Linked DNA regions of Drosophila melanogaster. The protein of the gene in region 2 purifies or fractionates together with the protein of the main gene of each other region. This does not show direct contact. Each region holds a gene or a part of one and is shown on either strand. Other genes may lie near its edges. The genes, in order: mip120, mip130 and lin-52.

Region 1 (11,098 bases), on a different chromosome or scaffold from region 2:
GAAGCCCAGAACCATGTCACATGCATTTGCCGCCGCCGTCTGCCGGTCCACCGCATCCATGTCATTGGCCCTGCGCTGCAGCCGGCGCGCCATGAGCTCTGCCAGAATGCTGCGTATGGCGGGTGCCACTGCCACCTCCACGGCCTGCAAGGATTGGCAGAGAAACGGACTACTTGCTGCGCCCAGAACCGGCAACATGCAGCAGTACCTGCGCGAGTACGCCAACGAGAAGAAGGTGTTCGAGCGAACCAAGCCCCATTGCAATGTGGGCACCATTGGCCATGTGGATCACGGCAAGACCACGCTCACGGCGGCCATTACCAAGGTCCTGGCCGACAAGCAGCTGGCCGAGAGCAAGAAGTACAATGAAATCGACAATGCGCCCGAGGAGAAGGCTCGTGGTATTACCATCAATGTAGCCCACGTGGAGTACCAGACGGAGACGCGTCACTACGGCCACACAGATTGTCCGGGACATGCCGATTATATTAAGAACATGATCACCGGCACAGCCCAGATGGATGGCGCCATTCTCGTTGTGGCCGCCACCGATGGCGCCATGCCCCAAACTCGCGAGCATATGCTGCTAGCCAAGCAGATCGGCATTGATCACATCGTGGTGTTCATCAACAAGGTGGACGCCGCCGATGAGGAGATGGTCGACCTGGTGGAGATGGAGATCCGAGAGCTGCTTACCGAGATGGGCTATGATGGTGACAAGATCCCTGTGGTAAAGGGCTCGGCGCTGTGCGCCCTCGAGGACAAGAGTCCCGAGATCGGCAAGGAGGCGATCCTGAAACTGCTCCAGGAGGTGGATAGCTTCATCCCCACGCCTGTGCGCGAGCTGGACAAGCCCTTCCTGCTGCCTGTTGAGAATGTGTATTCGATTCCCGGACGCGGCACCGTCGTCACTGGTCGCCTGGAGCGCGGAGTGGTCAAGAAGGGCATGGAGTGCGAGTTCGTGGGCTATAACAAGGTGCTGAAGTCGACGGTGACGGGCGTGGAGATGTTCCACCAGATTCTGGAGGAGGCGCAAGCCGGTGATCAGCTGGGAGCTCTGGTGCGCGGCGTTAAGCGAGATGACATCAAGCGCGGCATGGTCATGTGCAAGCCGGGCAGTGTGAAGGCACTCGATCAGCTGGAGGCCCAGGTGTACATCCTGTCCAAGGATGAAGGCGGTCGCACAAAGCCCTTCATGTCCTTCATCCAACTGCAGATGTTCTCCCGCACCTGGGACTGTGCCGTGCAGGTGCAGATTCCCGATAAGGAGATGGTCATGCCCGGCGAAGACACCAAGCTCATTCTGCGCCTCATCCGGCCAATGGTCCTGGAGCAGGGACAACGCTTCACGCTGCGTGACGGAAACCTGACCCTGGGCACTGGTGTCGTCACCAGCACTCTGCCCCCATTGACTGAATCGCAGCGATCCGAGTTGACGGAGGGCAAGAAGGCGCGCGAGAAGAAGGTGGCGGCTAAGAAGTAGATCCCCGGAACGCCGTCAGTCATTAACTAAAATCATATTCTTAAGCGATTTTTATGCATATTGTATAAGTTGTTGGCGCTCCAATCACAATCGAGTAAAATATAAACAAACACCTATGGACAACGAAGTTTTAAAACTTGGAATATTAGTAGGGATCTTAAAATTGATTTAAAATAGTACGGCTTTTAAGTATTACTGTTGTTGCCTGACATTTCGGCATTTCAAAGGACTATTTGTTATATAAAGTTATGTAAGTAAGCATTGATCATTGATAAAGGGCAATATTTAATTTAGGCGCCACTCATCGATTGCTTATCGCTCTATGTTAACGGCATCCGAAATAGAGTGGTATCGAAATGGAGCCGATAAAATCAAACAAGGCCGATAATAACCTGACTACGACATTTTACAACACTGCTGCAACCGCCTTGAACGCAGCTGATGATAAAGAACATTTTGAAATTGATTTGAAAATTGGCAAAAATGAGTACCTACCGCGTAGACTACTTGACCGGTAGATTCAAGCACCGTAAACGTTTGTTTGCAAAGTAATTAATAACTTATTTTGTCCGCAGATTCCCTAGACGACACGGAACCATTGCCGGAGCTGAGTTTTGAAGACTTTTTGGAGCCAACGTCGGAGAAGAGTTCCCAGCACATGGAAATCGAAGCTCTGGACTCAGAGGAAGACAATATCGGCGGTGAAGATCTGGCCGATCCGGCCAACGATTCCCTGAACACGCCGCAGTTTAAGAAGAACGTGGTCCACATACTGGAGGACAAGAGGTTAAACTCGTCCGGACTAACCGTTTTGAAGTCGCACGCCATTAAGATGGTGACTGCCGGAGGTACTCCTCCGGCCAAGGCGCAAGTTACAGACGTAAAGATACTAAACAAATTGAAACCAATACCCAGCAGTACGCTAAAGATCGGTAGCACGACCATAGCGACCAAATCCACACCGGGCAGCATAACCAAGACTTTGGGCAACTTGACCCAGATTAGGACGAAAGATGGCCAAGTCATCTTTGTCCAGAAGTCTGTTCCTGGAACACAAAGCAGCACTGCGGTGACAGGGTCACCAAGCGGTGGAATAAGACGCCTCGTGGCGCCTTCTGGTATCCAGAAGGCAGTGCTTTCTAAGGGCGTGACCATGGCAAGCACGGGTCTGGTCAAGGCGGCTGTTCCTGCCAAAGCAAGCACCTCGGTACCCGGCTCAGCCATAACCTTAAAGGGCATCCAACCGCTGGCCGGAGGCACTGCGAAGGCGTCGACTTCCAGCACGACGGCAACCACATCCCCATCTTTGGCACAGCCCAACAAAATTCAGGTGGTGCGCACTGCCGATGGCAAAATTATCAAGATCAATCAGGCTGGTCCCTCACTGCTGGTGAACGCCAAACAGGGAACTGGGACCACAGTCACACCAGGAGGTTCTGCCGCCACTTCTGTCAAACTATCTCCCTCCACGGGAAATGTGGTGCTCAACAAGCCCGTTGGCCAGGTAGTGGTGAGAACAGAAACTCCTGTAAAAACGGCGACGGGCTCCGTTGCCAGTGCATCCGCAACACCGGGCAAGATGTTGGTTCAAAGTGGCGGCAAACAGATTCTTGTATCCAACAAGAACATCATTAAGCTGTCGCCGAATGCGAGTGCCACCAGTTCGACAACCCACACGACGGGCGGACAGACACCTTCCACCTCGAGCGGATTGCACGCTATTCAGCTGCCTGGCAAGGGAGGAATACAATATGTACGTGTCCTGAACAACAATAAGAGTGCCGCCGGAACAAGTGCAACAGCCTCAATCCCGAAAACAGTGCAAACTCAGAAGATCACTGTGGTGCGGCCACCGGCTGCTACTGGTGTTCCTGCCACATCTACTACAACATCCGCAGCAGCAGCTTCACCTGCAGCCGCATCGAAGGCAAACCTTGCCATGGGCAACACTAACAAGATTGTAATGCGATCAATGGGTGGCAGCATTGTGCCGCTGCCTTCCGTGCAGACGTTGGTCTCAAAGGTTGGTACTTGTGTTGGTACAAATTTATTTCATTCTAACTCAATTTCCATCTTTAAAGCGTGCGCTGGGCGCCATCTCCAACGCTTCAAAACCAGCCAGTGCGGCGAGCAGCAGCGCCACGCCGAGTGCCAGCCAGGAGTTGCCACGCAAACACCGTCTTACTGATCTCAATGTGCAGCTAAAGCAATCGGCCTCGGTCAGCAGTGAAGCTAGCGACAGCAGCGATGCGGGTCCTGAGGCCAAAAAGCCGCGTTACGTTATTACCATGCAGCAAGGATCACAGAAGGCAGCTTCCCAGCCAGTTCAGAAACTAATTAATCGGACAGCGAATGTACAGCGTGTGGTGTCTAGCAGTACAAGTCCCAGTTCCAACTCCACAAAGAAAATCTACAACTATGTTCAACCGACTGGAAGCAATGGGGCCAAGTACATGATCTGTAACTCGGGTGTGCCCCAATCATCGACGAGTGCCATGCGACGGGGATACACTGGATATGTGGAAAACAAGACGCGACGCCCGCCACCCATTTCCCCGCAACAGCACCGCTTTAAGCAGATGGGTCCCCAGCAGCAGTCCAAGCACCAGCAACTTCAAGCGCAGGCCAAGCAACGGATTAGACAGCAGCAACTGCCTACCGAACAATCGACGCCGATCAAGGTCGAGCCAAAGTTGCCGACACTGCCTCCGGGGGTGAAGGCCAATGTACCTGCCAAGCCGCTCTTTGAAGTCCTAAAACCTCCAGCAACCGCGGCAGCAGCCGGAGCCGTCGATCCATTGGGCGGCATGACTTCGCGGCGAAAGCACTGCAACTGCAGCAAGTCGCAGTGTCTAAAGCTTTACTGCGATTGCTTTGCAAACGGCGAGTTTTGTCAGGACTGCACCTGCAAGGATTGCTTTAACAATCTGGACTACGAAGTGGAGCGGGAGCGTGCTATTCGCAGCTGCCTCGATCGTAACCCCAGCGCCTTTAAGTAAGTTTATTTGAAAGGAAAAGCTTATGAGGTCTATCCTATGTTTCTAAAGATGCTAATCACAACTACTTTTTTTTTTTTTAAACAGACCCAAAATTACGGCACCCAATTCAGGTGATATGCGTCTGCATAACAAAGGTTGCAACTGCAAAAGATCGGGCTGCCTCAAGAACTATTGTGAGTGCTATGAGGCAAAGATTCCCTGCTCCAGCATATGTAAATGCGTTGGTAAGTGAACTGATAAATCTGTTTTATCTATGATCAAACTAACTGAATCAATCAACTTATTATTTAGGGTGTCGAAACATGGAAGACCGTCCGGACGTGGACATGGACTCTCTGGACGGATTGATGGGTGTCGAGGGTCAGAAAAAGGACAAAGCTAAAAACAAGCAATTGAACGAGAATCGCGCAAATATATATTTTACGGACGATGTCATTGAGGCGACCATCATGTGCATGATATCGCGGATTGTGATGCACGAGAAACAGAATGTGGCCGTGGAGGACATGGAGCGCGAGGTTATGGAGGAAATGGGCGAAAGTCTGACACAGATCATCGCTTTTGCCAAGGAAAAGCAAGAAACCTCTCAGATAGACGAGTCCAAGCCTTCTTCTTAGGCATGCAAATATAGTCACACATTAATTAGTTTATAAGTTCAAAGAGTTCTTGACCTTTTCTCAATCATATTCTAATTTTGGCTTTCTAAAAGTTGACCTTAAAGTAAAGTGTTTACCCTATTTAAATAATTTAAACACAAAATGTATATATCATACATAGCAAATTTCAGATATAAGGCTATTTTAATTTTTGGCCGAGCATTGTAATTGTGTTGTAAACTTTTCCCTTGGATTGAATGTAAATAATTTAGATACCTAATAAAGTTTAATGACCATTGAACACAAATGAAAAGAGACGTTGTGTTGTTTTGTAGCTTGTTTATTCACCAACAACTTCAGTTACATATTTGTATTTTGCATTTGCATTGTTTCAAATTTATTGATGGGCGAGTATATTAAACTCAACGCAATTTAGTTTGGTTTTTCACAATATCGGTATCAGCTTAGTTAGCAATATCTCTATAAAATAAACACATGTCGAATGACTACAGTATAGGTAATGCATATATTAGTTGATTGTATTGATAGTAGGTATTTAGTTTTGTATATATGTAGTTTTTTTTGTTTAAGTATAGTTATATATTCTACTTGGTCACCATTGGTATGTATAAATAGCATATAAGTATGTTTGTGTTCTGGTTTCTCCCGGTTCTCACCCTATAAACATGGCATGGCATGACATGAGTACATATGTGTGTATGTATGTAGTTTCAAGGTTTGAGTAAAAATGTGATAATCGTTTAAGGACTATAGTACATATACGTGGTTAGTAATGCTAATATATATATATATATATATGCCCTGTTATACATATTTTTCATACACTGTTTTGACTAATATGCTCGCGCTAAACTATACGTTTTATTTGCGGTCATTCGAATACGAACTTTTTCGAAGAGAGAGTATGTGTGTGCGATTATCTTAAATAGCAAATACATACAGTAAACGTTGAGTATATCGATTTAAGGATAGTTTTGAATATTTGAATACTGTGCACAAAACGCTTTGGTTAGTTGCATTAGCATTGTTTGTTTGTTTGACCCCATACCAGCTTTTTTTTCTTGTGAATTGTTAGTTACGTAACACTTATGCAACATTTGAACATAGTTAGGCAACAATAACGATTTGATTACGCATAATATATATGTATTTGTATTGAGAGTATGCTGAACTATTCAGTTAGAAGCTATATTGTCTAATTCACACGTTTATATTGAATGCTGGGCCCCCAGAAGGGGAGCTAAAGCATAAACTTACACAACAACTTTATGAAAACCGAACAAAACCATTTGCTAAATATCGTATATGTACGTTGGATTTGCATACCCTGTACAATGTCTTTTTCTTAGGTTGTCGTAATATTGTATATGCAATCATTGAAGAGTACCTTAATTGTTAAACGCGTGTTGCATGATTGAATTCGGCAATTCTTCAAAGCGTGAAAAGTCATAACGAACACAGCGTAGAATTTATGGATATTAGTTGAGTAATTCATCTTTCACAACAATAGAACAACGATGATAATCAGCAAGTATTTCAGCTATTCGTATATACAGTTTGTCAATATAACCTCATTGTATACCTGCGATTAACTACATTTTGTCGGCTTTCTTTAAACTTTTTCGACCATTACAGAGCTATAGTTTACTTTACACTACTTTCGATTAGAATTGCTGGGACTATATGCGTTCAAAATAATGATTTTCATTGCCCAAATGAAGAGGAGCATTAGTTTTAAAGAGGATTTTACGTGGTGATCACAACGCTTAAGGACACTTGCAGCCATTCAAGTGCCTTGCGGCAATATCCTTACGATCCAATACGATCTGGTTAAGTGACGAAATAATGTCGGTAATATTTATGGGCTAAGATCCGAAACTTTGGGTGGGAAGAATTGAAGTTATAATCAGTGGGTACTAGTCTAAATTTTGTAGAACACCCAATTTAGCGACTTTATTCCTCACTAGATAATTGCAAACTAAAATACAACTTAAGACTTCTATTCAAAATTGTGAACGCTTATAGACCCTGTATATATTTTTAGATTCTATGGAATGGTGTTTATATTCCACGTACCATTTGGCACCAAAAGCCTATCAAATATTCCCTTTTTTTGTCAGATAACTTGTGTGTGTGCTAATGTGGGCAACAATTTTACAAGATTCAATGATTATATATATATATACTTTATTTAACTTTAACAACTTGAAATATGAAATTGATTTACTTAAGGAAGGTGGGCTTCCGTTGTGGAGTAGTGCCCATTAATTCCGTCCAATTTCTACGCCGTATTGCCAAAAAGTTTTAATGGATTTCAGTAGCGAGAATCATATAGACAGAACCGAAAACCAAAGTTACCTGGGTTTTCGGTTCTAGACCTATGAAAAAAAAATTTATTTATTTGGACTCATTTGAATATATTCTAAAAAATAAAATCCAATTTATATGATTGGCACGCTAATTTCGAACTCGCATACCTTGGAAAACTCAAAATTATCAGCCCCAAATGAATCGTATATCGAGTGAGTTGCTGTTCCAGGTTCAAAGCACTGTCAAAACTAATTCCCAGGGCCTTCTTTTGTCCCAGATCCTTCGCGTCGCCAGGCGAGTGACGTCTTCATTGGTGACCCCTTCAAAATTCACTCATACAACTTTCGCTATGCCGACAAGCCATTTTATCCGGTCCAGAACTATCAAAGACCTCCGGCGGCACCGACTCCGCCGGCACTGGTGAAGAAGGCCTCCTTCCAGACCTTCTACCACAATCCCAGATTCAGCCAGGATCCCGAGTACATTCCGGCAAAAAAGAGTCCACAAACTAGCTCCTATAGGCGTCGCCTTTTGCTGGAATCTATGGATATGCCCTTGGGATCTACGGTGACAACGCCGGAGAGACAGAGTGTACCGGTGGCTCCGCAGACGAAGCGTTCTCCCACAGCCACGGATTCGCCGCTCCTCAGGACATGCTGTCAAAGTGTGCGCTACGAGGCTATGAGACGGGGTCCAAGCAACACGACTTTGTGCCAGAGTACCACGAATCTCATACGATCAGCTGGCGGCGGTGTGCCTTCTACTTCAACCACCACCTTCTCCATGGACTCCAACGCCCATCTGCAGAACAGAAGAAGCGGCTGCGGTATCAGCATCGACATCTGCAGTGTGGGTTCGCAATCTGAGGTGGACAACAATGTGAGCATCCAGATCGCAACGGATGCCTATCTGCTGAACAATACGGACAAGGTGAGGACCAAGTCCAAACCGGTGCGCTGTACGCCCAGATCCAGCGGCACCTTTGGCATCGACAAGCGACTGTCCAAGTTCAATGTGAGCGAGACGAAACCTCGGACGAGTCCGGAATGGGAGCTCCGGCAGAGAGAGAAGGCACGAGAAGCGGAGCGCCAACAAAAACGGGAGCGGGATCGACAGTTGTTGGAGGACCGACGCTTGGAGCAGGAGAGGGAACTTCAGGAGGAGCGAGAGCGTGCCCGCCAGCGGGAGCGAGATCGTGAGCAGCTCCGCCAGTTGGAGCGCATGCGAGATGAGGAGCGACTCCTAGAGTTGGAAGTGGAGCGCGAGAGGCAGCGATTGCGGGAACTAGAGCGGGAAAACCAGCGGCACAGAGAATACGAGCGGCTGTGTGCCCTCCAGGAGCAGGCGCGTCGGGAGCAAATGGATCTACTGTGCCAAGAGAACATACCTCCCCGACCGTCAGTTCCAATGACCTCGCACTTGTACACAACCACCTCTGATGATCGTTTGCCCGGAATGGCCTTTTGTGATCTATCGTCCCGAAGGTCACGTCGATTGGAGAATCCGACCAGACCGAAAGAAAGACGGAAGACTAGAGTATGTCAGGATCCTAGAAGTGTCTCGTCCGCTACCCGTTCACTTACTCCCCCGCCGATCCTTACCCGGAATAGCAGCTCCCCATCACCCTCTTCAGAAGCGCCGTCTTCTACACCCACCTCCCGTTCCTCATCTCCAAATCGCAGGTCAAACCGCTGCTTCAGTTCAACACCTAATCCCGATTCCCAACGATTCCCTCCTACAATTCCAAGAGATCTAGTTCGCAGTAGTTCGGGAACTTCGAATGGCAATGTCCATGTCACAGTGACCACCACCGGGCGACGGAGCAACTGCAGCATGAGGCGTTCATCCAATGACCGGGCTAGTGAGCAAAAGCAGCTAAATGGAAACCAAACCTGCGTCGCCTGTCTGAATAATATGCCCATTAGGATAACCACATCTCGGTCCAGGGATACGGATCTAGCCTTCAGTCTGAACCATGTGAGGATGAGGGGATCATCACCAGCGCCCACGGAAAGGAGCAGCAGTCAGGAAAGCCAAGATTCCTGTCAGGTTAACATCAGCGTGTATGCGGATAAACTGCGTTTGATGCGTTTATAATAATATAAGGGAAAAGTGGGGGATTATATGTGTGATTTTTGGAACAGATCATCTCTAGAATATAGAGCTAAGCTGTTCCAGAAGACGCTCATATACTCCCCTAACTTTTCTATATTAGAATAGCGCCAAAATTAGTTGTATCATTGCTGTTTTTTTGACTTTTAAATGTTCTTAACTAAGCTAAATCCGAAAATTATATTCCAAACTATAGTTTCTATATGTTCCTCGCTTCTTGGGATTCCTCCATTAAATCATTGCAATTGCGGGCGTCTGCTTGTTGGATCGGCAATTAATCCTTCCCTGCTGGGAGTAGAGTCTTCCAAAGAAGGACTCTCACAAGCTCATTAAGCTCTTCGTACAGTCACATCATGCTATATCTGTACTTAAAAAAAAAATACATTTTGAGATAGTTTCCAAACCTTTTGGCCACTAAATTGCCTCCAATATGTAGTAGGGTTCTTAGGATCCTTACTTATTTTTATTTCTTTCTACCCGTCTCATCGAACTTCTGGCTCATCACAGAGCCCTGCTTTCACTCAACTTTCTCTTTCTTTATCTTCACAAATTTGTGTGCTCTACTTTAACATGTGCAAAGTTTTTGGGGGAGGTTACTTCTTGATATGGTATAATACTATAGTGCAACTTGGGTAAAACATTGAACAAGAATAACGATTTGGATTGGATTTTCATATGATATTACTGATATTGTTGGTTGTGGTTACGGTTACTCTCTGATCTTTTCTTTTTTTTCTTGATTTTATTACCCGTTTTTTTTTTTTTTGATTTTTGGTTGCACTTTTGGCAACATTGCGTTGTAGTTAAATCGTTTGCTTATTCGTCTTCCTCGTAGTTTTGATAGGTTACATAACGTACCTGAGCCCGATCGCGTCCATAGATCAAAGACTGCAATCACAGAAATGAAATGGAAAAGGGTATGGGTTAGTCTAATGCATTTCCTAGAATGATTTTGTATCGTGCAAAATGAAACTCAGGCAGCGCTTTAAATAAAAATTAATAGTTTTATTACAAACAAATTAAGCTGAACTTAGGGCTAAAAACAATGATAATGACTAAGTATACGAAAAATAATAATAAATTAAAATTAAGCAATGTATCGAGACTCAAAGCCTCTCGCTCTCGTACGCCTCGTTCGTCCTGCCCGCCTCGGCATCCGAATCGGGAACAGATGCACCATGCATGATGGCCGGGCAGGATGCGGTCATCTGGGGTATTCCAGAGAATTCCCCTGAAGCGGCAGCAGCGGCTGCAGCAGCCTCAGCCGCCTCTCTGGCCATACGTACCTTCTTCTCGTCGCTGGTCGGCGGATTCTTGAGCAGCGTCAGCAATGGAGCATACATAAAGCAGAGTATGGCAATTCCAAACAACATCCACTCGAAGCCGATGCTCTTCACCAGCGATCCAGATAAGGCGGGACCCACGGCGAAGCCAACACAGAAGGCCACATCACCCAGGGCGTAAACGCTGCCGTAGACCGCCGAGTGTCGGATGTCCACCAGATAGCCCAGTTCCGGCATCATCGACGAGTCCACCATTCCAATGGCAAAGCCAAGTCCTGCATTCGGGATGATCAG
Region 2 (10,069 bases):
ATGATCGTTCGAAATCGTTACCAGAAAAAACGTCTTTTAATTTTGCAAAAATAAGTTAATAAAAGGGCCCAACAGCCCACTTTTCAATCGCCATCGGAAATAGAGCAGTTGGGAATAAAATCTGCGTGAGACTTATCTATGTGGTTGCCCAGTCACCAGAGCGAATACCCCTAAGTAACTAAATACATACATATCTATCTACAGATCAGTCGTGTTGGTCGGTGAGGTGATTGCGAGCTTACAGCGCTTCCGGATAAAAGTCCCGATAGGCGAATCCCTCAATGTACTCCGGCCGGTGGCAGGCGAACAGATGGTGGGGTAACTCCTTGCGGGCGTACTTCTCCAGTGCCTTGCGCGTATTTTCCTGGAGCACGGCCTCGTCAAATTTGACCCGCTGCACCGTGGTCTTCCGAAGGATGGTCTGCACCAACTGCGACCACACGCAGCCGGACTCCTCTTCACCCAATCCGGAGCCGTTTTCGGCAAGCTTTCCTTTTTGAATTTGTGTCGACTGCTTCTCTTCCTGGCTCGGCTCCGGCTGCTGTGCAGGCGCCGCCATCTGGGCTTTGGTTTGAGTGTAGACTGTGGACGCATCTGCGGCCTGAGAGTCGGTAGTGGCCTCTTTCCTTTTGGGTGGCGGAATGTCCTGCATGAGCGTCTGCAATCGATCAACTGTCTCCGCCATTCGTTTCCGAAAGTCCACTATTCGACGGGCGTAGCTGAAGAGGGCTCGCTCCTCCGCCAACTTTAATGGCCTTTTACGTGCTTCCTCACTTAGTTCTCCGTCTTCCAAAAGTGGGTGAATGCGAACACCGGCCTCCGAAGTGCCACTGAGGTAGATTCGGATAGCAAATTCCTGCATGGCCGAAGTATTGACCATGGCTATGGCATAGGCATTACGTGCTTTTAGAATAACTTCTCTTATATGAGCCAACTGGGGCGAGGAGGTATTGGACACTCTTGTTTCGAGATCTTGTAGATCCATATGCTCCAAGTGAGCCGACTTATCCAGGCTGTCCAACACCTCTGTCAAATGGCTAGGTATCCGGTCACCGTCCGCCGGAAAGGTTAGCAAACCTAATCCTTGAATCACTCGGATGTTGGCCACATATTGCTGCTGCAGTTCGTACAGCTGCCAAAGGGTCCTCATTCGAGACTCATACTCTTTCTGGGCGCCTGTGCCCAATACACTACTCATATTAGTATCGTACAGTTGCAAGCCCCGTATAAAGGCTACATCCATGGTATAGTTGCCCATGAAGGTCTTTACATAGTTAAGAGCCTCGGAGGCGCTTGCGAAACTCTCCCGTCGCTGAGCAAAGAATTCATCCAAATCGCTGACTGTCAACTGGTTTCGTGCCACCACGTTTCTGTGCAGGCTCTCGTTTAGCTCCCGCTCCTCGCGTATCTGCTCGAAGTTGCTTACTAACAGATCGCCGGCGGGCTGTTGAAATTCGTCGAACACCTCAATATCTACGGCCATGGTAGTGCTTGTGCCGGATTGCTCGCGTTCCTGCTCTTTTTCAGAGTCCTGCGCCTGCACACTCTCATCCTCTTTATTAAAGAACTCGTTGTTCTCTGGGTGACACTGCGGCACCCACTGTTCCTGAACAGCTACCTGCCGCTTTTTGCTCCTCTCTAATATCGCCCGTGGACTAAACCGCTGTAGATCCAGAGAGGTGTAGATGTCCTCGTTGTGGGCGTGGCAACAGTGGAGGGCTGACATGTCCATGGGATGAGCCTCTGTGTTGAAGATGTACGCACCGGCCTGTACCACGCATACATCATCCTCGGTTGACAGCAGCTCGCCTCCGGACCCATCGTTGTGCAGGAAGTTTTCCTCGTCAAACAGCAGATAAAGGTACTTGCTTGTTTCCGCCAGGAAGAATGACTCCATGCGATTCTCCTTTTCGTGGGTGACAACATTGCGAATCTGGAAAATAATGCAAGTATATATTAATTAATTTTAAGTTCTTAAAAAGCTTGTTCACAGAACTTCTCACCGTTGCATATCCGCATTTGGTTTTGGCACTGAACTCCAAGGTCTCCAGCATGTGCTCACCAAACTCCAGAAGATACTCGTTTCCTGTGGCTCGATAGAGATACATAGCTGACTCGATTAGCTCCGGTCGCAGGGGGTACACCTCCCGATTCGGCGATGCCTCTCCAGCAGCAATGTTATAAAACTCTGGCAGAAAGCCGTACTTCTTCCAGACCCCAATGTACCGTGATATGGTGCGCAAGGCCGGCTCCGTGTCGCCAATAATGCTCAGGATGCCGGGCCAAAACGCCTCCAGGGACTGAAAGACGGGAAGGGTGACGCGGCCTTTGTTCATGCCTACCCACACGTACCAGTCCTCCTTCCGCATGTACTTATCAATGGCCGCGCGAGCCTCATGGAATAACTCCAAGAGTTCTGGGCGATTGAGCAGGACAGATGCCTTAACTAGGTATTCAAAAAGGGAATCCACTCCTGCTCCGATACCAGAGTCGAGGGCGGTCCAACGACCGCTCTGCACGTCGATGTGATTGCCAAAAAGTCCAATGGGCGAGCGATATGCCCATAGAGCATGTACCGCCTTCATAGCAACATCCTCGTAGATGGTTTTCCCGGTCAACCGGCTAAGGGTACCAAATTCGATGAGGAATGTCCCCACGCCCGCCGTACAGGTTATAGAGGTCTCGCCCTTGGGCACGCCATAGCGCAGGTTCACCGTGCCATAAGGCATACCCGTGTTCGTGACGAAGGCTGGCAATAATCGTCGGGCCACATCCTCCGCCAGTCGCAGCAGAGGTCCCTTGCAGGGCCATCCTGGCTCTAGCTCTACGCCAGCACGCTTGGAGAGCAGATGCGCGGACAGCAGCCCGCCCACGATGCGGATGTTTGTCTCGAACACGGACACGTTGATGTCCCTGTCAAAATCCATCTTCTCCTCGAGCAGTCTTGCCGCGCGGCGGAATTCCGTGAAGTTGCCCATGGTGGCCAGCGTGTCCAGAGCGTCGATCAGTGTCAAGGAGTAGCTGCCCCAGGTGTCGTGGCCATCGCAGGTCAGCGGACGCAGTTCATCGTAGTTGGAGGCGTGGCGCAGGTAACCATCGTAGGCGTGCTGGAACATGCGCCGCACATCCTCCCTGCAGATTCATTGCCGGTTAGGATTAGTATGTCCGAGTTTAGCCCTAGCAATGACCCACCTCAGTTCCAACTTTCTTGCCTTGGAATACTGCTTCTGGCCGCTGACACCGGTGGACAGCAGGACGAGGAGGACCGCGCAGATGAGGGTGCCCGGATAGCCGTTGTTTCGGGGTTTTTGCTGCATCGTGGGACAGTCAATCAATCAGGGCCGCTAATTCAATTATGGGCATGGTCAGTGTTCCATAGCCAGCGTGGATGTGGGATGTGTGGAAGTCAAATGCGGCTACGTTGACGCAAAATCACAACAAGGGCTGATTCGGCGGTGGCATCGACCGCCGAATGCCCTACTAATTCCGTTCGGTGAGTGTTTTTTTATAGAGCGCTTAGAGTAGCAAACGGGGGAAAGAACACAAGCCAAAGAGCTTTTTTAAGGTAACAACCAAACACTATAGGCTAGCAAACACTGTATTCTCCGCCAATTCTGAAGTACGTTAATTTTACCCAACAAAATCCCTAGCAATAGGATATGTCATTCCGTAGGGTGCAATCAGCTGTTGCTGATCGAATAACTATCGAAAGGGTGGTCAGATCGAATTTGCATGGTGGTCATTGCTTGTTAAAGGAATACAACAGCTCAGAATAGCCGTAAAATCAGCGCGGCAATATTAAAGTCGGGTTGGAAAAATTAAATGGCAATTTCTTTAAGAATTCAAAAAGTTTGTGATGACAAATATACCGATTGTTTGTCACTGCTTTGCGCGGCACACGTTCCTTTATACTTTTATTCGCGTCGAGTTGGCAGCACATACCAGTTTTTTTTGTGGCCATTCAAAAGTGTGTGTTCGTACGGGTAAAAAGTGATTTAAATTCAAAATATTCAGCGAAACGACCGCCTCCAATAGAAGCAACTGTACCCTATGGTAAGTAACTGCCCTCTGCACCCGTTTCACACCCGGACATCCTCCGGATGAGCTGACCAAGAAATCCGCAGCCTTTGTTACGCTTCCGACTGCGAATTGCAGTTCTGGCGATGGGCAGCGATGTGTTTCGGTTTTGAATCATTCTCCGCGTAAAAAAAACTCAGAAAGAGGGTCGACTATAACCTCGCGGAGTAACTGCATCACGGCCCGTGTGCCTTTTGTACTCCGCGTAAGGCGATCGTTTAAATGCAATCGCGTATGCTTAATTGTCCGTTGGGCGAAAAGTAACAACATTGTGGGTCTATACATGCGGGATTGCCTCTGGCTGACCAGAAACCACATTGAAACCATCCCGTTGACCGTAGATATAAGCGTGTGCCATTTGGGATCTGGAAATCGTGTTTCCACCCAGTTGTTTGCATATTTATAAACAATTAAAGAAAAATATTAAATTTTTTGGTCAGGGCTGTCGCCCCTCGCATGGCATCGATAGAAGAGCGTCCGGAGCTGCGGTTGCAACCCTATCCGCTCACGCAAATCTATCGAAAAATTTTACTCCACGGTCGATTTTCGTTGCTTTTTTTTCACACTCGTGTAAAAAAAAAGGAAATAGCTAAGTAAATCGAAAGTACAGTGCAGTGTTTTGATCCCGTGGAGTGCATGTTCCAGCGGAAAGTGTGTGCAACAAATATGAGCAGTTCGCAAAAGTGGCGAGCAAAAGCAATAACAAAGTAGCAACAGCAACGCAACGTGTGTGTGTTGTAAGCAATCTGTACAGCGGAAAGGTGTTGGTGTGTTGGTGTGCTCGGGGGGTGGTGTGCGTTTCGCCCGTCCCGTGTCCATAAATTAGAATCAAATCGAATCGAAATCGACATTGAAGTCCGCTGCTCCGCCACCGCGATGTCCGTCGACCAGGATCAATAAGCAGCGTCACCACCAGTAGCGGACCATCATTAAGTTCTCCATATCGAGAGCAGGCTGACTCGGAATCGAACTCGGATTCGGAATTGGAATTGGAATTGGCATCGGAATCGGAATCCATAGCGGAGGAATCACGCGCGGCAGCCAGCCCAATACGGAAAACTGCTGAAAAATGTTAGATAAATGCCCAGTTATCTACAATTATTATGGCTTGTCCCTGTGTGCGTGTCCAGGTGTGAGGGTGTGTGTGTTTGTGTGCGATAGCAGAAGCAAAATCCGCTCAAATTGCGATGCCAAATAGTCGGCCAATTAATTGATCTTTCAATTGGCGACATCAGGCGCCCTCCCATATACCCAGCTCCGCACGAAACCCGATATATATCCGCGGATTGAGTCTCTGCTTTTGCCGCACATATGTATTGTATAACCCTTGTTTATCTTTGGACAATCCGAGGTGGAGTGGAGTACAGTGGAGGCTGGCCAAGTTGGACACATGTGCCGATAAGGTGGCGTGTGCTGGAACGAGTGTCCCCTGTAATGCGGTCTTATCTGAAGAGCTTTGCAGGTCACTCCGACTGACAAATTCACCTGCAAGCTAGGAGGGGAAAGCCCTGTGAAGAACTCTCTAACACGATAAAGTCATATTCCTGATTGATACAACTATAACACACAGAAATCACTATCAGACCAGAGAACCAGCTCGCAAGACCCAAGACTGTAGCTATACCAAATAATCTATCCATAAAAATAGGAAGTTCTTATCTTATCACATACTCTAGGTAAAGATTTAAGATGGATCTCTATAAATACTTTTGAATTTACAACCCAATTTGTTATGCTTCTCCTGTAAGTGGCCCAAAAATCGTCAGTTAAGCATATGAAAAGTCTCGACAATGTGGCTGCACTTTGTTCCTTTAATTGTTCTTATATTGTTTACAAATTGCATAAGCTGTAAATGTAAACTTTGCTTAGTTCGATTTCGCTTATTCCCGAAGTCTGTTTAAACATTCAACAGGAAATGAGAAACTGAGCTTGTTTATAAAACGTTAGGCAACATTACCCCTTTTGCCATTCATCTTTTCCATTAAGAACGCCATATAAATTCAGTTTTCAATTTACATCGTACAGCTGTGGGTTGTAGAGCACTATTAGCTGCTAGGAAAGCAGGTTGAATAAAATGATGATGAGAAATCACAGAATTCGAAGGACCTTGGGTGAGTCACTGACTAGCAGCTTTCACTGCACCATCCACGCACTCAAAGCCGACCACAACTGGAGTTCATACACACACAGGGGCCACCATAAATAATTCGCATCCACTAGGTGGAAGTGAGCAAATGTTTACTCAATAACTATTCTTGCAGAGCCCGCAGTCGCAGCAAAGCAACGATTACCAGCGACACGAGCAGGGAGCAGAAGGAAGCCGGCGGAGGAGGAGAAGAAGGAGAGCCACCGCACAGATTGGGTAAAGCGCACCACCATGGTGAGTACCAATCTGGTGGTACCCGTGGTGCTGTGGGGTCCCACCGCGCCCACGCACTGCATCTCTAGCGTGTTCCTCTCGGACGATCAGTTTACCCTGGTCACCGGCTGCTACGATGGACAGATCTGCCTTTGGCAAGTGGAGCCCACCACCCTGAAGATGTCGCCGCGGTGCCTCTTGGTGGGCCATTCGGCGCCCGTTTTGTGCTTAGTGCGTGCCTCGCTTCTGCCGGAGAACAACTTCCTGGTCAGCTCGTCTGAGAACGGAGAGATGTGCACCTGGGATCTTACGGACGGCAAGTGCATGGAGGCGGTCAAGCTTCCACAGGTGCACACCCAAATTCAGAGCTACCACACCGCCAACAGCGAGGATGTGCGCCTCTTTTGCATTGGCTACTATGCTGAAATCATGGTCATGGATCCGTTCAGCCTAGAGGTGATCTACGTGCTCAGCTCAAAGGTCAAACCGGATTGGATATCCGCTATTCACGTACTGCGCCCCATGCGTCGCAAGGATGACGTAGTGTTGGCCATCACCACCACCGGAACCGTGAAGGTCTGGACTCTGACGGGTAACGAGAACAAACACGCGGAGCCCATTTACGAGAACGAATCCAAGGAGATCCGCTGCCTGAATGCCATCACCATGAATTGCTGCGCCCAGAACCAGCGCACAGTGCTCTTAGTTTGTACCAAATACTGGCAGATCTACGATGCCGGCGACTTCACTGTACTCTGCTCCGTAATTGCTCCCGCAAGGGAACGTTGGCAGGGCGGCGACTTCATCACCTCCGACCGGGTAATGCTATGGACAGATGAGGGAAAGGGCTACTTGTACAAGCTGCCCGCAAACTGCATTCCCGACAACAAGGAGTTCCACTCGAAGAGTGTGGTCAGGGATGCACCTTACCTCTACTACGTGTTGCAACACGCCGGTGATAAGGTGCTGTCGTGCCCCCCAGCCATGAAGTTGCTTCAGGGCGCCGGTGGCCAGCACAATCTACTGCGCGGAGACTCCGAGGGATACATCTCTGTCTGGAATGTGCCGGAGGTGCCGTTAGACAATATTAGCATACTGCAGGCCAAACAGATGCCGCCGCGACCCCTCAAGCCGCACGTGTGCACTTCGTTGGTCGAGGCGTGGTCCATAATGGATCCACCACCAGTGGGCATCCTGGATCAGCTCTCCCGCATCACAGAATCGCCGGTGAAGCTCACCTCGAGCATCTATCTGCCACAGCAGAGTCGCCTGGTGATCGGACGCGAGGATGGCAGCATAGTCATAGTGCCAGCCACCCAGACAGTGATGATGCAGCTGCTGGTGGGCATCAAGCAAAACTTCAGCGATTGGCCCTCGCATCAGATCCTCTACGGTCATCGTGGAAGGGTCAATTGCCTGCTCTGCCCCTCGATGATTCACTCGAGATATGAGAAGTCGCATCTACTTTCCGGCGGCATCGATTTCGCCGTGTGTCTGTGGGATCTGTACAGCGGAAGCTTACTGCATAGGTTTTGCGTTCATGCGGGTGAGATCACACAACTGCTGGTGCCGCCAGAGAGCTGTAGTCCAAGAATCCTGAAATGCATATGTTCGGTGGCCTCGGACCATTCCGTTACGCTAGTGTCCCTTCAGGAGCGCAAGTGTGTGACCCTGGCAAGCAGACATCTATTCCCTGTGGTTACCATTAAATGGCGTCCCCTGGACGACTTTCTAATCGTAGGCTGTTCCGATGGCAGCGTGTATGTGTGGCAAATGGAAACGGGTCACCTCGATCGAGTGCTTCACGGGATGCTGGCAGAGGAAGTCCTTTCCGCTTGCGATGAACAGGCGGAGGATGGCGGCTCGGGCGGCGGCGGTGGTTCCAATGGTGCATCTGCCAGCGAGATGGGTATGGCCAATCCGGCAGTGCACTTCTTCCGTGGCCTGAAGTCGCGCAACATGAATGCAATCCGTCATGCTACCCAGCGCGGGATTACGCAACTCCAGCAACTTCAGGGTCATAACCAAGGAAACTTCGACTTTCTGATGAAACACCGCAGCAATCCTTTAGTGATCCAGGGTCTTCGTACTAATCCTAAGGACGCGGAGAGCCACATACTTTTCTTTGACATCGAGGGACTGATCTTCGAATTGCATAGCGAGGAATACGCACAGATGACACCAGCTACCTTGGAATCACTTGGTGTCCACCTGCAGAATCCCAAAGATGGCAAATCGATGCATTTGGATGCTAGCAAGAAGATCGGTGACTTCTTCAACAAGGTGAAGAACAAGGCCGTAGATGTGGAGAAGATCCTGAAGGACAAAGACAAACACGGGCTGGTGCAGAAGTTCAAGGAGAAAACTGAGATTGTCGAGAAGAAAGTACAGGCCAAGGTGGAGAGCCTGCAAAAGGCAGTAGAGCCGCACGAGGAGCAGCAGGACCTGAAGAGCAAAATCGCTTCCAAGATGGAGGTTACGCATGTTATGGAGGTAGCCCAGCTACTTCTTTCGCTGCTCCATTCTTGGGGCCTAGATCCACATCTAGACAAGATGTGCGAGACGCGCTTGGGCCTGCTTAGACCCATTGTGCCCATCTCATACGGAGTGCTTTCCAAGGCCGGCTATATGTCGCTGCTGCTGCCCACATGGCAGAACAACTATGCCATACCACCCGGTATCCAGCTTCCCTCCAGTTCCAAGAAGCGCCCGCTGCCAGAGGAGCTGCAGCGCTTGGAGCATCTCACGGCTGTTTTCACATCCCGTCTGCATTGGGAGCTCAGCACTACGTTGACCACCAACCATATTCTTGCGCTGGTGGCCATGTCCAATACGCTGCTGTCGATGAGTGCGGCCTCCTTTCTGCCGGACAGCGAGAAGCACAAGAAGCTGCAGCGCTTGGCCCAGCGCACGGACTCCACATTGAGCAACGAGGAGGAGCGCGAGGAGCTGATGGCCCACCACATCTCTCAAATCAAGCACGCCTGGAGCCTGCTTGCTACCCACCATTGCTTCCTGTTGCCCGACAAAATTGAGGCCCTGGAGCCGAAGAAATTCAAGCGTCCGCAGGTGGAAATGATGGTCAAGCGCTGGCAGCATCACTGCATAGAGATCAGGGAGGCGGCTCAGCAGATCCTTTTGGGCGAGCTTACCCGGATGGGCAAGAAGGGTCGCAAGCAGCTAGTCGAGAGCTGGGCACAATATCTGCCACTCTACACGCACACCGAGCCCATAGTGGGAGCCCAACAGCAGTTGGCCTTGATAAGTCAGCCGGCAAGCGGAGGAGCTGGCTCGGGATCGGGCGGCAATGGAGGGGTGGGCGTCGGAGTATCCGGAGGCGGTGGTGCTGGTAGTGGTAGCGGGCCAGGTGGCAGCGTTCCTGGGGGAGATGCCCACCAAGATGAAGACTACGAAGAGGAAGAGGAGGAGATTATACGCAAACCATCCAGCTTGTCGGAGCTGAAGCGCAAACAAACTACGGCAGTTATCCTACTGGGTGTAATAGGAGCAGAATTTGGCCAGGATATATCCCAGGAGTCACCGAATCACCGTGGAAGTATTAGCATGGCCACGGGAGCAAATCTAACCAGTGGAGTTGCTGGCGGGGAACGTCGAAAATCTAGTGTCGTGGAG
Region 3 (9,078 bases), 3.8 Mb from region 2:
CTGGAGCTGCTTCCGCTGCCGGAGCCCTGGCTAATGGGACTCATGTGGCTGCCACGTCTTCTGGAAACCGACGGCATCTCGGGCAGAGCGACTGAGTTGAGGCGCGGAAAGTACTTGTACATCTCCAGCAGGCTGCCCAGCTTGACGTGCGGCTTGTACTCCACATCCTCTAGCGATTGTGCCGCCGCGCTGCTATTGCTTAGTGGCGTCCAGAATGTGAGACCCAGCTGGGCCAAGTGACCGCCCTAAAAGCGAAATAGATCAGTTGCTAGTGAGCACATTTATGAGTAGCCACAACTCACCTTGATGTCGGTCTCCAGTTTGTCGCCGATCATGACGCACTCCTGCGGCTTGACATTGAGAAAGTTGCAGGCGGCATAGAAGATCTCCGGATGCGGTTTCTCCCATGGCAGATCCGATGAGACCAGCACGCAGTCAAAGTAGCCGCGCACATTCAGCTCAGCCACCTTCTCCCACTGAGCGTTCGACGGTCCGTTGGTGATGAGGGCCAGGGCATAGCCTGCCTGGCGCATCCGCAGCAGCAGCTGGACATAGTCCGCCGGAACGGCTAGGTAGCGATACCGCAACTTCAGCCACTTGGGATAGATCTGTTCCGCCAGGTGCTTGTGGCGCGCTGGAAGGGATTCGCGCCACAGGTGAGTGCGCCACGAGTCCAGCGATGTTTGCGAGTTATCGGGACAGCGGCGGAAGGCCTTTAGAAAGTTTTGGGTGGCCTGTGTTGCGTCATCTTTGCTGAACTGGTATTGGGTCTCCAGAAAATCAGCGAGCTAAGAACGAAATTGGAAAAGGGTTGGCAATTCGCATTATTATTGCGTTACATAAATTCAAAAATATACAAAATTGCGTAGATGTGATAGTGCCGTAAAAACCTCAACCGCGATAAAACTATAAATACGCTATGACGAATTAAAGACGAGATAAGTTAAGAACTTTCACGCAATAAGAAGTGAACAACCTGAAAGTAGAGTTAATATTAATAAAAGCGATTAGAAGCCTCAATACGTGCATAATCTTTTGCGAAACGCGGTAGAACGTAAATCAAAACTATTACGTCCATAAAGTTCTCAATTAAGCGTCAGATTGACCAATCCAATCATTCGATCGAATCCGAAGCCAATTGATTAATTCCAAAATTGTTATAGCATCGCCGTACTATCAGGGGATTGAACATCAAACTGCAATTGCCGCCGGTACACTTGCAGCATGAGTAATATATGAGAATATACTATATTTTATGATCGCAATGATAGCTTGGAAATTTCCACTCGCTATCTATTTTCCGGCCCAACCATCCGCATCTATTGAATCGTACTCAAATCAGGAAGCTAAGCTCACAAAAGTCATTTTGAATGCTAGGAATTTAAGTTGAAATCATTGCGATTAGTCACAAAAACTGTCATGAGTTCCGAAATATAAATGGGCGTGGCTTCGCTCGCTAAGAATTGAAAGCAACTGAATAAAGAAACCGTCTTATTTGGGGTCTTCAAACATTGAGCGTATTGAAACATGAACGTGATAATGAAGTTAACTATCTAAATTGGCGCAGCTTAAAAGATAACGATATAATCTGGAATGCAAGAGTGAGTAAATGTACGTGACATTGAACACATTTTCAAGAATACCTATTTATACCTTTCTCTCTTGAAGGGAAAATTCTAAAAACTTTAACCTTTTAAGATCGCAAATAGACTCATTTATTGTAATAAATAAAGTCAATGGCCTCTGAACGTTCAAACAAGTACATATTGCGAAGTGCTACCTATTATCATCAATTAACCTTTAGCTTCTTTGTGTGCCATTCACTTTATAAGAAGGTTATATTTCAAAAGAAACCATTGACGCGGGTTTCCAAAGTTTGTTGGTATGACGTTTCGTTCAACTTTTGTTAAGTGCAAGTTCCTCGATTTCCGACCTTTTTGCAATCGTTTGCAATCGATAATGCGCACCACGATAAGATCCTGTAAAGTGCCTTTTAACATTTCGAAAACCGAAGATTCCGAATTTCCAACGTAATGCCGATTATTTAGTGGGTTTTAGCCTTCTAAAGTGCATGTACCCGTGGTTATATTTAAGTTAAGACCTTGTCGAGTGCACTCTGAGTTTTTCTTTTTTGTTTTTTTTTTTTTTGTGGCTGGGGGATGTGAAGGGAAGGGAAAGGAAATCAATCGGAACGCAAATAAACAATCGAAATTTCGGGCGCGTGCTATCTGCCGAGCGTCCGGGTTTTTTCGACTACGTAACAACGGGCGGGCTGCAGTGGAAAATTTTCTAGCTGGGTCGCCCGCCTGCTGCGCACTTTCACCTCCCCCGCCCCGCCCCCCCACAAACACTACATGGAAAAGAAACGGAAGAAACGCCAACGGATTGGTGATTGGCAGAGGGGGCAGTGAGGCTGTCTGCCTTGGCTTGGTTAACAAAGCTCACCTTTCTGATCGCCTTGGAATCGCCGGCTCTGGTGGGAATCAACGTGTTGTCCAGGTCAAAGTAAAAGGCCCTGATTTTCGCACATGTCGCATCGAAATGTGAATGTGTGGCTGTCAATTGCTTGCCGCAATGGAATTTGCTAGCTGCCATGAGAGTCGTCGAGCGGAGGGGGGGATGGAGGGTCAGCGAGGGGTCACTGTCAGGAGTGGAGGGGTGGTAGCCGGTTGCTTGGTTAGATGGATGGATGCAAACGTAGAGATCCAAGAACAACTTTGGTGCAATTCAATCCGCCAGCGGATTTGCGCTTTGAAATTGGCGCCAAACGAAACGAAACGAAATGTACGAGCTGCACGACTGCAGCAGCACTGCAGTATTTTTCTATTTTCCTCGAGCGGACTGGCAAAAGTTTCCGCTTCTCGCGCGGCGAAGTTAAAACGGCAACTGAATGACAGCGACAAAAAAAATAATGAAACGGAACGGGAGCGGTCGCAGTAATGTCGAGAGACGGGGTAGCGGGGCGGCGGAACAGGTGAGCGCGTGTGTATGAGTGCTTGTTGACTGAGTGAGAGCGGAGCAGCGAATGAAAAACCGAAAGAAAGTGCGAGGGCGCATGGGAAAACAGTGGTGGCCAAAAGTCTGCGTATGCGAACAGTGCTACCAGGCGGCGGCGCCAATTGATAAAAACTTGATAAGATATTGTTATTCCTTAAGATTTTATATTATTATTAAGATGTTCTTGAATAAGTTTATTTCAATAACTGGTTAGACATCCGTGTTGTGTTGTTCTGGACAACTACTGCGCAGCACATGTGCTTTTTACGGGCACATATTTTTTGGCGCCACTGTGCGAAGTGTGCCAAGTGCCGTTTGCGCGCCAGAGCGAACGAGAGCAGGCGACCTAGCGCAGAGTTGTCTCTATGCGCCGTTAAACGACCGTGAGTGGAAAAGAGAGCACGATAGAGGTCGCGGAGAGGTTCGCGTTTCTCTGCTACGACGCCTGCTCTCCACTCTGAATTTAGTATAAGTCGAGGCACGCTCATTTCCTAATTGTTGTGCCATTTATTTTTAACTTCTATTAATAAAACCAGGAAAAGCAATAACAACAGTTCTTTGTTTACCAAAAATATCAGTTGTTTTATACTTCCTGGTGCTTTCTAGCACTGGCTTGGCGGTAAATCGATAGTATTCGATAGTGATTGTTGAAAGTGGCAACGCTATAGTTTTTGTTTAACGAGGTGGCAAGTGATTAGCCCACGGATTTTTTGGCATCTTTCCGTGTTTATTTTCAATAGTTTTTGGAGTTTTTCAACATTATCCGCGATGAGCAACGCAGAGACAACTACGGATTTGCTTTCTACAGGTGAGTAAATATTTAAATCACATGAAAGGCGCCATAAAACGAGGTTTTCTTGCAGAAACCATTCTAAAAGCGGCGGACGAGGAAGTGGAGAAGGCTTCAGCGTCCAGCAGTAGTACGTTATTGGCCGAAAAGGATGTCCCGGAGGTCAAGGAGCGGCCCATAACGCCGGAAGACGAGCTCATCTCCATGGAAACTCTGCGACCCTCACCTGTCCAATGGCCAGAGCGTTGTAAGTGTAGAAAACGTGAGCACGAAGAAATTGGCGCCATTTTTAACGCATATCTTTATTTTCGATTGCTCCAGTTCCCGGAATGGACGAGTTCCTCTCCATGAGCGACACGCCGATGTACACGCGCAGCACCAACTACACCAGCAATCTGACCGATGATGATATGGTTAAGATTAATGGTAAGTAGCTGCAAAGTCAATGAGATTTAAGAATAGTATATTAAAGAATAGCATATCCATTACCTACTTTTCTATTCCAGAACTAGCCCAGCTCCCTCCCGAGGATCTGATCGATAAAATAAAGTCAATGCATGATGAAATTTACCAGCTGGGACTGCGTGAGGCAATGGAGATGACTCGTGGGAAACTGCTGGGCATCTTTGACCGGGATCGCGCTCCTAAGCGGCAGCCATGAGGCTGGATGATCCGATCCCTAAGAATGGGACTGTCGAGGATCTCGTTGAATTCGCATTAGGAACATAGGTGTAGTTTCATAGTGTACATAGTGCTATTTTTATAGTGAGTAATGCGTGTTGTGAATGATTTATCGCTATTTTACAAAGATAAATAGGCAGGCGTTTGAACAGTAACTAACGTTTATTTCCATTAAAGCATTTTGGGTCCTACACGTCGCTTGTATTACAGATACATTTGAGGAGTCGGAGGAGAGATGAAGTTGACGGATTGGAGGGAAAGGAATGCAGAAGGATCTGGAGTTTTTGGAGAAGGCACAGTAGATTTCGCTATGCAGGGACATTAACGCAACAAATAACTCTGTCTATGTGGGATTGGATGGATCGGTTGCGCTCTAGTGCGTCCTATTAATACTTAACTAAATGCTTTCGTTCGGATTTATGCAGTAGCCTTCCCCACGATCCATCCCAATTTGGGAAAGTGTGTTGGTGCTGATGGTGTGCTTACATGCTGTTTCCCGTGAATATATATCCAGTAACGTGCATCAATTCCCATTACTCCTGCCACTGCATTCCGAATCGCTGCTCAAAGGTGATCCGGTTAAAGACGCCCGCATCGGCCAGCTGCAAGGGATCGGTGTAGTACGCAAAACGCCGTATATCCAGCATGGCCAGGTCGAACATTTGCTTCCAGCTGGTCAAATCTGTAACGCTCATGTGGATCGGCAGCTGGGGATCCGGTATATCGATGGCCGCCTGCAGACGGTCAAACGCCTCGGCAATTGGTCCCACCGATAGATTAACCCAGTACTCCGCTGGAAAGCGCTTGTTCTCACAAAACGGCGCTCCCTTGCGCATGATGAAGACCAGCATGAGTATCTCATAGCGCTCGGAGCTCTCATAGAAGCGCTTGGTTCGGGTCTTCTCCACGAAATCGATGAGAAGGATCAGGGGAGTGTAGTTCTGGAGGTGCATCAACAGCTCCCGGTCGGTCCAAAGGTAACGGCCGCCTTTGACGGTCAGCAGGCTCATGTTGCTGGCGAGTTGTTGATGCTGCTGCTGCTGCTGTTGCTGCTGCAGCTGGTGGTGTTGCTGCTGCTGAAGGTGTTGCTGTTGCTGCTGCTGATGTTGGTGTTGCTGCTGCTGTTGCTGCTGGTGTTGCTGGTGCTGCTGCTGCTGGTGTTGCTGCTGCTGGTGCTGCTGGTGTTGCTGCTGCTGATGCTGCTGGTGAATGCCGCCGGCGGATGGGGCTGGAGTTCCGGTGTTGGATGCCACCTGGCTGGGCATGGCGACCACAATGCCCGTCTGTCTCTGGCAGCCAATCTCCTCCACCATGTGCGCTGCAATGACGACAAAATGCATTTAAGGCAAGTGCCTAAACCAGGCCAAGGTCGCTGCGTTGGCCAAACACCCAGCCACCCCCTGCCCGCCCTCATTATTACTTGTTGCAAATAGCGAGCAGCGAAGAGCGAACGTGCAGCAAGTCAAAGGCTATGGCAATTGCAATTGCAATCAACTTACTGCGTGCCCCAATCAAAGCGGCAGAAATTATGTGTGTATTTATGAGGCGGATGGATCAGCGGGTCTGGATTTGGATCGGGGTACGAATGTGGCCCCCAAGAAGCAGCGGCCTATCTCCTCCGGCAGCTCTGCGTGTTTGCCGTGCGCCCTGGACGATTGTTGCCACGCGAGTGCCTTCCCAAGTCCGAAGTCGGAGCCACTCGGACCCGCATTCTCGTTGCACTCGGGCTCAGTTTTCTCGGTGACTCGGTCGCGCCAGCCGATGGGCATGTGTGGATGTGCATATAGGGACTCGGCCCGTTTGGCAATGAACTTATTGGATGCGTTCTGCGCTGGCTGCGGTTCGCAGATTTGTTACCAAGCGGGCTGCCAACTCTAAAATGTATGCCCCCCAAGCGGTAGATTAAAAAATAAATGTGAAAAACATATATGTAAGCAGTCTACAAAAAAGTAATTTTATGTTTTTAAGACAAGAACTTAAAAGTCTTAGCATTAGTCAATTTCCTATGATATCTTATCTATTTATCATGCTTAAAAATATATAAAATAAACATATATTGTACATATATATATATTATTATACAAATTGAGTTCATATTTAAATACGATATGTAAGATTTGAAGAGTTTTCGAGCACCCTGTTCTATTCGCCTTTGATTTGATTGAAAGCTTATTAAAGCTCATCAGCTTATCAGCAAACGAAATCGAAGTTTGATGCACATAAAAGTGGTATTAAATTTCCAATAAAGGTAGACTGTTGATTTAAGTCAACCTTGAGCGGTAAATAAATAAACAGATTGGGAAAACATAATGCACATAATGCAAACGGTTTTGAGTAACTGCATTTGCATTTAATATGACCCCACATTTTCCCACAAAGCTATAAACAATATCATGATTAACGTATAATTTTTAATAGTAATAAACATCCGTACAGAGAAATTCAAAATGCATGTACAACAATGCATAGCATTGTTAATAATATATATTCTTAGGAGAATTAGACGCGCCCCACTAAATACAATCAGAAAATTACAGCCAATGTCAATAAATTTGAAAAAAAAAAAATAACATATCCTTGGGACGACTAAACTTGAAAACTCTTTTACATAGTCACCTAACCCTTTGTTAAAGATTGCCCACCCTACGATCAAACTCGTCCTTGTGCTCGTTCTTTAGATACTTCCGCATCCCGACGAGCATGTAGCGCACTTTGGGTGCGGACAGGACATCCAGGAGTATGGCCATCAGGGCCTGAAAGCTCTCATAGGTGCCATTCTTGTACTCCAGCAGCGCCTTGCCAAAGCGGCGGAATTGATCTTGGGTGACCAGGCTGCGTAGCTGCAATTCAAGGTAAATTAATTAGTAGTAGTAGTAGTAGTATGGAAGAAGTCTCGAAGGTATCTCACCTCCCGGAGAAACGCGGCCCTTTCCTCGGGTGCCTCCTTAGCCTGCGAACTACTTGGCTCCACCTTGATGTTCTCCACCAACTTGTATCGCTTTTTGGTCACCTGGCTGGAGGATTCCGGCGCCGTTGGTGAGCTTCGCTCCCGCTTGTGAATCTTCACCAGACCAGAGGAGCCACTTTTACTATCTGTGCAGCAGTTGAAATCGATACTCTGGGAAAGGGGCAAAACAAGAACAAGTCCTAAAGAACTAAATAAACACAGTGTAATAATAGATTCATGGGAATCTCGTGTTTACCGAGACATTTGAGTCCAGTCGACTCATAAAGTCCATGGCATTCGGCGCCGCACCACCCAATTTATGTCCAGCGGCACTCGCATAATCGGCGGGTGTCCATGTCTTGATGGAATTGGCCATCTCCACTTTGCTACAAAGAAAAATAATAAATATTTCAAAGTGTCAATACCAGGAGAAAGGCAAACGAAAGTTTATTTACCCTGGCAGTGATGACAAAAGGCCACTGGAAATGGCTTACAGCATTTCACTTTAGCTATGACAAATCTCAAAAATTGTACTCAAGACTACTTAAATCCGATTAAGGATTTGCTATTAATAATTGTAATACAATCTATACAGCTGATAAGGTTGATCTTAGATCGCAGGTTACGTACATTGCGGATTCATTGGCTGATTTGAAGGTGGCATTGGAGCCAGGCTCCCGTTTCACTTTTGGAATGGCGGCTAGTGGTTCATCCTCTGTCTTGCAGACGGTTTCCAAAGGCGAATCGGTTTCCCTTTCATCCGGTAGTTTCATCTGAAGTTTTGAAAGAATTGTATTACAATTGCTGAAAAACGCATAAACATCATGAGCTTACATTCGCTTCGGCGTTCTTAAAGAACTGACGCAGTTCCCGGACGATAGGACCAAAGGGTGAGCACTGTGGCCGGTCGCCCAGGTGACCCCGAATCCATTTGGATAGCTGCTGGACCTGTGAGGCGTCCTTAAATCGCGAGTCGCAAAGCAGAATGGCACCATAATCGTTGCGATGCCGAATCACACGACCGATGGCTTGATTGACTGCCCTCGTGGCATCTAGATTGTACCATTCCTGCCCACTTAACAGCTGATTCTCACGAGTCCGATTCGCCTCCAGGTAGCGACGTTTCAGTATCACCTTGGGATCCTTTAGCGGTGGGAATGGCAGACCAGTAATAATCACCGCGCGGCCATTGCGATCAGCAAAGTCCAGACCTTCGGAGACTTTGCCGCGACAAACAGCCATGAATACGGCACCCTTGGAGTCGCGTATCGCCTGGTAGAACTCTTCCATCGTGCTGGTGAACTGGTCCTTGCTGCGCGGCTCCAGAAAAATCGGTTTCTTGCACGATATGTCCGCCCACAAACCACTGGCCTGCCACGCGTCCACGCACTTGTTCAACATGGGATACGATGGGAAAAAGACAAGGAGGCCGTCGGGCACTATACGCGCTACATTCAGAATCGTCTGTCCCAGGGAGCTGATGTACTTTGGATTATCACTGCAGAAGAACAAAGGTGGCAGATAAAACATGTTTGTTTAGTTTGTATAACATTAAGAAATTGATACGTTGGCATTTCGTAATGTTATGAGATAGTTCACCTGCCACAGAACTGAGTTATGTTTGGCCCAACTTGTTTATTTACTCATGGTATTGGCCATAAAC

Evidence for each region.
Region 1: the proteins of mip130 (region 2) and mip120 purify together in Drosophila melanogaster (affinity purification with western blotting; 2 studies listed by BioGRID). This does not show direct contact.
Region 3: the proteins of mip130 (region 2) and lin-52 purify together in Drosophila melanogaster (affinity purification with western blotting; 2 studies listed by BioGRID, with this or other methods). This does not show direct contact.

The regions. Positions count from the first base shown.
Region 1 is NT_033778.4:13,507,731-13,518,828, forward strand, and holds mip120 (Myb-interacting protein 120), read left to right. Parts: upstream 1-1,887; 5' UTR 1,888-1,966; coding exon 1,967-1,997; intron 1,998-2,058; coding exon 2,059-3,506; intron 3,507-3,564; coding exon 3,565-4,478; intron 4,479-4,566; coding exon 4,567-4,706; intron 4,707-4,773; coding exon 4,774-5,099; 3' UTR 5,100-5,382; downstream 5,383-11,098. Other genes in the region: mEFTu1 (mitochondrial translation elongation factor Tu 1), read left to right, coding at 14-1,483; CG13330 (uncharacterized protein), read left to right, coding at 7,606-7,621, 7,687-9,506; Vmat (vesicular monoamine transporter), read right to left, coding at 10,628-11,098. UniProt on the Drosophila melanogaster protein: Component of the DREAM complex, a multiprotein complex that can both act as a transcription activator or repressor depending on the context. In follicle cells, the complex plays a central role in the site-specific DNA replication at the chorion loci.
Region 2 is NC_004354.4:1,904,303-1,914,371, forward strand, and holds the start of mip130 (Myb-interacting protein 130), read left to right. Parts: upstream 1-3,936; 5' UTR 3,937-4,050; coding exon 4,051-4,053; exon of another isoform or gene 4,054-4,525; intron 4,526-4,617; exon of another isoform or gene 4,618-5,148; intron 5,149-6,338; exon of another isoform or gene 6,339-6,454; coding exon of another isoform or gene 6,455-10,069. Other genes in the region: Edem1 (ER degradation enhancer, mannosidase alpha-like 1), read right to left, coding at 243-1,933, 2,004-3,132, 3,193-3,317; Rbcn-3B (Rabconnectin-3B), read left to right, coding at 6,455-10,069.
Region 3 is NC_004354.4:5,749,572-5,758,649, reverse strand, and holds lin-52 (lin-52), read left to right. Parts: upstream 1-3,691; 5' UTR 3,692-3,765; coding exon 3,766-3,805; intron 3,806-3,860; coding exon 3,861-4,034; intron 4,035-4,108; coding exon 4,109-4,213; intron 4,214-4,293; coding exon 4,294-4,448; 3' UTR 4,449-5,001; downstream 5,002-9,078. Other genes in the region: CG15771 (uncharacterized protein), read right to left, coding at 1-245, 303-788, 2,446-2,595; CG15772 (uncharacterized protein), read right to left, coding at 5,002-5,781; Rtel1 (regulator of telomere elongation helicase 1), read right to left, coding at 7,096-7,308, 7,377-7,586, 7,672-7,801, 8,046-8,188, 8,250-8,913.